Linked DNA regions of Yarrowia lipolytica. The protein of the gene in region 2 interacts with the protein of the main gene of each other region in a pairwise test. Links are inferred from orthologs where the notes say so. Each region holds a gene or a part of one and is shown on either strand. Other genes may lie near its edges. The genes, in order: YALI1_C10730g and YALI1_F28453g.

Region 1 (4,332 bases), on a different chromosome or scaffold from region 2:
TTCCATCGACGCCCAGGGCCGATATGCCGAGGGCACCAAGAAGATCCTTGAGGTTTTCTTTTCTGGAAAGCAGGATTATCGACCCCAGGACATTATCTGCATCAATGGTCACTACGGCACAAAAGCTTACGGAGATGACAAGGAGCACAAGGAGCACCAGCTCAAGTAAATATATATAGCTAGAAACATATCTCGTTGTTGCTTAGATACTTGTACTACGACTTGTCTCTCAACCTCTATTTACTGTCGCTCGACCTCTATTTAAGGCGTTTATCTCCCTCTAAACGTAGTCCATAGCAGCCTATGATTATTCGTATCAACCATTATTTAGTAATTTTGTACTTGGAATAGTGAAGGCACGTTTCTCCCTAACATCGGAGCCCAATCATTGCTTCAATTCACATTGTCATGAAGAGATAGGTCAAGCAAGCAAGACTTCATACAGAAATTCAATGATTACAAGTACTGCAATAAAGATCACCCATACTTCTGATGTCTGACTGCAAAGACGTTCTGTTTATCTCTCCTTAAGATAGTGAAGTAGCTGACATCTTTCCACTACAAACGCTCTCAAACAAGTCAGTATTTCTATACATTACATTTTTCCTCCGTCTATGCTCCTTCTCAGTGTATCTACCAGTCCACCATTTGCTTTTCCTTCTCGCCATTGTCCTCCTCGTATTCGACCTCCACGCTGGGACCCTTTCGCTTCTTGGTCTTGGGCTTGGGCTTCTTACCGTCAGCAGCAGCCTTTCGCTTCTTAGGCTTCTCGTCCTCGGAGTCGGTATCAGTCTCGTCCTCAGAGGCATCGGTCTCGTCTCCAGACTCGTCACTGCTTCCACCCAGCCACTTTTCAAGGTCCTCCAGCTCCACAAGATCGTCATCGTCTTCCTCATCCTCGACATATTCAACCTCTCCACCCTCTTCCTCTTCGTCCTCCTCTTCCTCTTCCTCTTCGTCCTCATCTTCCTTGTTGGCTCCCTCGACGCCCTCGAGCACCTTCTTCCACACCTTTTCGTCCACGTTGAGAGGGTTCTCGCCGTATGCTCCGCTCTTGAGACGGTCCAGCAGCTCCTTCTCAATGGCCTTTTCCACCTTGGCAGCAGCCAGAGCCTTTCGCTCTCGGGTAGCCTCTCGTCGCTTCACCTTGGGAGCCACACCAACATAATGGGTATCCTCCTCCTTCATGGCAATACGTCGCTCAGCAACAGCCACTTGGGTGAGACGAGTCAGACGCTGCTTGCACTTGTCAACCAGGAACTCATTCCAGTAAATGAGATGCTCGTCAATCTGCTCCAGGGCCCGCTTGTAGTTTTTGGACAGTCGGATCCGCTCCCACCACTTATTGGGGGTGTGCACTCGCTCAGCAGTCTTCATGTAAAGGTATAATCGGCCGTTGACCCGTCGAACGGTGGCGTATTTGGAGTTGGCGAGAGGGCAAGACTTGCGCTCGCAGATGCCGGTAACGTTGTACTCGTTCTTGCAGAAATCCTGGCCTTTGCCGGTTTTCAGCTTGAACGAGCAGAATTGGTCGTTTAGAATTTCCCAGATGAGCTGTGTTAGTAGGAACGAGCAGTCGTGGGCAGCCTAACTGCCGGTGGACAATAATCTATAGTGTTTCAACTGATATCTCGGTTCAGCTTGTGATTTAGTCGCACTCGGAAAGCATATTGTAGAGCTCAGGTTCAGTTATAGCAGGTCGCAGACCGACTCAGACCGACTCAGACCGACTCAGACCGAACCTTTAGAGACTGTAGACGGTAAAATCCGAAACAGCTCGAAAAAATGTTCATAGAGTCTTCTTTCAGGTGATGGCACAGTGTTGCCGAACGTCTCATGGACAGCGTTCATGATGGAGACTAGGAGAATGGACGAGGTCGACAAGGACGTTTGAGATTTGATTTGAAGCAGATTTGGAGCACGCTTGAATGTTCTAGCGTCTGCAGATAGCATAGTATCGCGGACAGTTCCAACAGAAGCATACACACATTCCTGAGGTCTGTGTAGCAGTACAGCCGTACCAACCACATACGTAGCCTGTAGTACAGTTTCCACATCAAGGAAAACACATAGCTCTTCTCCAACATTCAAAATAGCATCGAAATCGCTCTTCCAATGCTTCACCCCTTCTTTATCTCGTCACAAATCCGTCCACCACCTCCTCTGTCTAACAACCGCCTTGAGTGATCGGTAAAGTACCTGCCAAAAGCCATATAGATCCGGATTTTTCCACTTTTCCACTCTGTTGCACTTCTTTCCAGCCCAAAAGAACCTCCCTTGGGCGCTTCCATCTTTCCATCGATACTCACATCGTCACTCGCCGACATTGTGAATGTGTAGTTATGCTTGAAAAATTCGTGATCAGACTTTCAATCTTTCTAATTTTTTTGGCTCTTGCAGATTTCTCAAACTCTATTTCAGGTTATGAGCAGTTTAGAGAAAGTAACCTAAATTGTCTCGTTTGTGGTTGGCCAGAGTAGTTAGTAAGCAAACACAGTTCTTGAATAAAACACTCTCCAGCCAAAAATAGGGCACCTTTTAGCAACGTGCCGTTTTCGTAATACATTTTGGTCACGTGATCTCCGTTCTCTGCATGGATTATGCAAACACTAGGTGATTGGTGGAAGGTAAGGGAAGGGGACGTTCTACACTTGTGGAGAGAGAGGTAGTAGATGGAGGGGAACTGGGTGTGGTTGTATATACACATTACTGAGAAATATGTGACTGCAGTTGTTGTTTTTTGGATATCATGGAATTAATGGTGGTAAATGTATCACCAAGTCAGTAGTCTTTATTAGTTGAAAAGACTTGGTAGTCTCATCTATAGAGTGTAACTAATACTTGAAGATGTATAGTAACTCTACAGAATGCACGGTGGAAGAGCTTTCAACCATGAAGTGATACTGGGGGCTATTCGAAGCTATATAAACAAGCCTGCTAAATCTTCCTCCTTTTCAAAGGCTCCACATCGTCTAGTGTCGTACTGTCTTCTTTGCCACCTTCTTAGGGAGCTCTGATAAAGTTCGATAGTGAAACTTCTGGCATCGACTTTTGGTATCACTCTGACACGAACAATCACACAATGTCTAGACACCATCCCGATCTGGTGCTGTGCATGAAGCAGAGCGGCACTCGTGTGGGCCGTCTGTGTGAAAAGTGCGACGGCAAGTGCCCTGTCTGCGACTCGTTTGTGCGACCTACCACCTTGGTCAAGGTCTGTGATGAGTGCAGTTTTGGCAAGTTGGAGGATCGGTGTATTATTTGCGACGGATATGTGAGTACATTCAAGGCACCCACGGAAGACTTGCTGAAGGCGTGAATTGAGTGCGGTGAGATGGAGACGCCGAGGAGATGAGACACACGTGTCTGAGGAGGGTTTCTAAGCTCCGATGTGGTCAATGAACACCAAAAGCTCGTGAATGATTCTTGGACCCTCGAGATCAACTGTGAAGTGACTATATCGCGTTCTTAAGGATTTTTTCTCATTACTTTCGCTTACCATACTAACACAGGCGGTGGCGGACGCTTATTACTGCTTTGAATGCACACGACTGGAAAAGGACAGAGATGGCTGTCCGAAGATCATCAACGTCGGAGGCAGCCGGACGGACCTGCATTTCCAGAGAAAGAAGGAGGGACAGAGGTAATCCACTGTTGTATATTATTAATTTATTCTTAGGTGAACGAACTCGGGCGAAGCCCAAGTGATTGGATCTGTAATTATAAGTGTGTAGCCGCAGTCTGTGAACATTTCAATTCAAGTTACAAGTCACAGCTTCTCCCTAGTAGGTACGTCTATGTTGTGCTAAACTGTATACATCTTGTCCTGGCATCTACGATACTACAAGTTCATAAATCATTTTAATTCAATAAATAATGCTATTGTTTTGTCAGCCCTAGGGCTCACTCTCCCCCTTCTTCTCCTCCTTGCGCTCACTCCTGCTGGTGGTTCTCTTATGGTGGGGAGTGGCGGCAAATTGGGGATTGACCTCGACAACAGAAAACTTTTTACCGTGCAAAGTAAAGTCCGAGCCTCTGATCAGCGACGACGATCGCTCAATGGACGGATTATCAGCTCGAACAGGCGAAACTTCCCGTCCGGGGGAATCTGAGCCGTTTCGAAGACCGGTTCGCAGCTTCCGAACACTCATGGACGGTTTGAGAGGACTATTCTCACCTGAACGGAGATCACCAGATGATCTGCTCAGAGATAAAGACCGAGACGCCTTTCTGGGCAGATCCAGCGACGACGACCTAGTATCACCATCAGACCGATCACTCGGGGCGGTGTCTCTCAGAATGCTTTCTCGAACCTCATAAAACCGATCCTGC
Region 2 (3,732 bases):
GTTTGGTTCCGCCGCTACTGCGATTTCCATGAGTGTGGTTGTTCTGCTGCTGTTCTAGAAAGACTACAACAAAAACTCAAGACTGAAAGGTTTTATTTATTTATAGACTAATGCATGATATTATGGTAACTGCGATATAGTACAAGTACATTACTGTACTTAAATTGGGGTATATTGTACAGATATTGTATTTGGTGAGGTTCCCTCTCCCATAAAGAGAACTGTTCTACCCGACAGACACTTCCCTACACGTACTGGTATTTGGTTAGGGGCATAGTATGAGAACCGGTAGATTTACTGTCAAATTTCTCGTGAGTCAATACTTTAACCCGACATAATACCTGTTCATGGCTAATGAGAGCGGTTCACATCAACTTGCTATACCAAGTGGTGATGATTACTCAGCGTCATAGTACATACTGTAGTTTGTAGTGAAAATGGAGCGTTGTTGACTATTCATGAGATACAATGACCCCTATTCTGTAGCATCCACAGGCAACTCTTGTCACTGATGAGCGCCAACACAGACCTCACAACCCTACACCATTCCACTGTACACTACATACTCGTATGTACATACTGTACATACTCGACACATTACTACACAACACAACATCTCTCTGATCCTCCATAATTAACCAAATATACATTTCTATATCCTTGCAGTCCAATTAAACCACAAGAATGCAAGCGTGCGCCTGCAAATGAAGCCAGCGAGTTGTTGCCGAATCAGATTGAAGCCTTGTTAAGTCTGTATGACTGTCGAAAAGTGTTTGTCGATCTGTGAAAGCGTTCGATCCTCGCTGTGCTTGCAGTTCCCTTACAAATGGAACTTCTTCTTATCCTTATCCATGGCCGATCGATGCTCCCATTCCACCTCTCCTCGAATGCCTCTCTGAAGACGTCTGAGTCTCAGGGTGAACTGAGGACCCAATTCCTGCAGACCCACTCGCTCCTCATTCTTGAACACGTATCTGTGTCTTCGGAAGAAGATCCAGTCTCGCTGGTTATGCAGAGTCACCACCTGACGTCCCACAAACTCCGGTTGCTGAGGAAACATGGATTGGAACAGCCGTCCGACAGTCTTACCCAGTCGCGTGGAAAAGTTGTTGAGAATCAGCTCGGGAATGTGGGTTGTTGATCGGCCGTGGCCCTTGATCTCCTTAGGCATCTTCAAAGATGACACGGAGAAGTACATGGTGGGGCCCTCGGGCAGATGAATAAAGGTCAGGCCGTTCACCTTCTTTTTGTCCTCGTTGATCACCACCAGATCAGTGTAGTCTCTCTCGGCGCACATCTTGGCAATCTGCGTCATTGTGAAGTCTCCCACTCGCTTTTTGAACTCGGAGCCGGGGATAATGTCGTACAAAAGGTCTGCAAAGTCGTAGGCCTGTCCTCGAGCTCGCTTAGAGGTAGTGATCAGTACCTTGGGGGGCTTTCCCTCCTCAAAGTACTCTTTGAACTCATCCTCTCCCTCCATCTCCTGAGCGATGGTCTCATCATAGACTCGCTTGGCCTCGATGGTGTCAGGCACGTTCTCAGCCAGACGTTTCTCTTTGAGCTCGGGGTTCTTGGCCTCCTCCTTGGCTCGTTCCCTTCGCATCTCGTGTCGCTCCTTATTGAGCTTGTGCTTCATTTCCGCGAACACCTTCTTTCGCTTCTCCTTGTTGGCGATCCGAATATCTCGCTTTACCGTTCCCATCGTGTCTTGTAGTGTGCTATGGTGTCCGATTCTCTGCAAAACAAATTTCTTGAAAATATTGGAGATAAAAAAATCCTGCATGAACTTTATGCAGGTGGACAGAGAAGGCAGATTGAGCATACGGAGGGTAGAATGGGGGTTGTGGGGGTGAATGAAGTAATGTGGGTACTAAGATACGGAAATGACTAGAAAACCTTTGAAAGAAGCTACCATTATTCACATACCCCCACGTGGCAGCTATACCAGGACTATTTTATGCTTACTCTCTCCGCCATGTTCATTCAGAATAGGATGTGAAAATGGGACGTGAATTGAACTGGCGTTGGAGCATGTTTAAGCAAGTTTAAATAACTGTTTAGTGTAGTCTGCCTTCTCACTCTCAAATGGCTATACCAGTACTCTGAACGAAGGGGTTGTCTTGCCGCGTGAATCTTTGATATGTCTTGTGCTCATCCTGCTTGACAAGATGGACAAATAACTGAACGATACGAAGCTATTGGTGAAGTTCCTGGGAATGGAGGTTCCACCGTCTCATAACTGTTGGGGCCGAGTTATATGTCAATGGGAGAAAGGGAGGGATTGATATATTGATATATATTAAAAGCACTGGAGGAGTTTCGGAATCGTGGAGCCTCGTTGATTCCTTTTCACTTGGGGACATTGACAGCTGGGAGGGACTTACAGTAGTATGTGTCCCATCCAGCTGAGACCAGACAAGTTTCGAAATCAACTAAGGGCTCAAGTAGTTGGTTTGCACACAGACGGAGAGCAGACACAAAGAAAAGCGGCTCACTGTGTGCTCTATGTTAGTGCGACTGGTTTCATTGAAAAAATTACATGCATGAAAAATGAGACGCGTAAAATCATTTCAATCCATCAGACGCGAAGCCTGTGGGCGCGGTCAAGGATAGGTACATACTGTAGCTACAAGAAGTACCCCGACAGGCGTAGGAGCACAGCATTGGGTTGCACAGCATTGGATTGCATGGGCGTTGGATTGGCGTGTCTGCTAAGGCCCATAGTGCAAGAACCAGACATAAAAATAGACAGAAACAGCTATCCGAGATGTTAGAAAGTTCATCAGAACACACGAAGCTTGCTACGGATGTGAAAGATCTCATACAGGAGGTTTGGAGTCTCTCATCCTCCGTGGGGTTAGGGTAAACCAAAACAGGCAAATGAATCAGTTGATCGAGTGAACTCATACAATGTGTTGTGTCTTGAGGGGTTCTCATACGTTATAAACAATAGCTGGAAAAAAAGAAGTTTTGAATAAGCCCATTACCGGTTCTCACTTTCAGTCTCCTGTTTTGGTCACTAGACATTCACAACCCCATCGATCTACGAATACCTCATACTGAAATCAAGGTTTCAAATTTCACCATTTGGGACGGAGGCCAGACTGTGCTGTAAATACTGTCACTTTAAAGCACTAGTACAGATACGTCGTTATCACCACCCACAACACACCATGGCTATCTTGGAAGAAATCGACGATGTGGACAACATGGACTTTGATCCCGCGGAGTTCGATCCCCGGGCGGTTCTCACCGACGCCACCGCGCATCAGGAGAGTGACGGGCGAGGTCCCATCAACCTGATTTCCAAGGCTGAGCACGAGCGACGAGAACAAGCCAAAAAACAACAGGAGCAACAGCAGGAGCAACAGCAACAGGCCAACCCCATGGCCCAACTTCAGCAGATGATGGACCAGATGAACCAGGGCGGAGGTATGCCCCCCAACATGGGCCAGCAGGGCAAGCCCGGTACACAGGTGTTTGACTCGGAGGAGTTCAAGAACCAGGAGATCCAGGAGTCCGACTTTAAGGACTGGCAAATAGTCTACCCGGTCTACTTTGACAAGAACAAGACTGTGGGCGAGGGCCGACGAGTGCCTCTGGAGCTGGCTGTGGAGAACCCTCTGGGCCAGACCATCGCCGAAGCCTGCAAGATGCTCACCCTGCCTTCAATCTACGAGGCGCACAAGACTCACCCCAAGGACTGGGCTAATCCCGGTCGAGTTCGAGTGC

What was found.
Region 1: the proteins of YALI1_F28453g (region 2) and YALI1_C10730g interact in binary tests that used the Saccharomyces cerevisiae proteins (3 or more experiments, as listed by UniProt). The link is inferred for Yarrowia lipolytica from reciprocal best matches to the Saccharomyces cerevisiae genes RPF1 and MAK16.

What each region holds. Positions count from the first base shown.
Region 1 is NC_090772.1:1,071,021-1,075,352, reverse strand, and holds YALI1_C10730g (66S preribosome component MAK16), read right to left. Parts: upstream 2,328-4,332; coding exon 2,310-2,327; intron 1,555-2,309; coding exon 634-1,554; downstream 1-633. Other genes in the region: YALI1_C10762g (uncharacterized protein), read left to right, coding at 1-169; YALI1_C10718g (uncharacterized protein), read left to right, coding at 3,083-3,274, 3,513-3,647; YALI1_C10675g (uncharacterized protein), read right to left, coding at 3,897-4,332.
Region 2 is NC_090775.1:2,843,562-2,847,293, forward strand, and holds YALI1_F28453g (uncharacterized protein), read right to left. Parts: upstream 1,823-3,732; coding exon 821-1,822; downstream 1-820. Other genes in the region: YALI1_F28393g (uncharacterized protein), read left to right, coding at 1-58; YALI1_F28459g (uncharacterized protein), read left to right, coding at 2,391-2,774; YALI1_F28467g (uncharacterized protein), read left to right, coding at 3,174-3,732. UniProt on the Saccharomyces cerevisiae protein: Essential protein. Required for biogenesis of the 60S ribosomal subunit.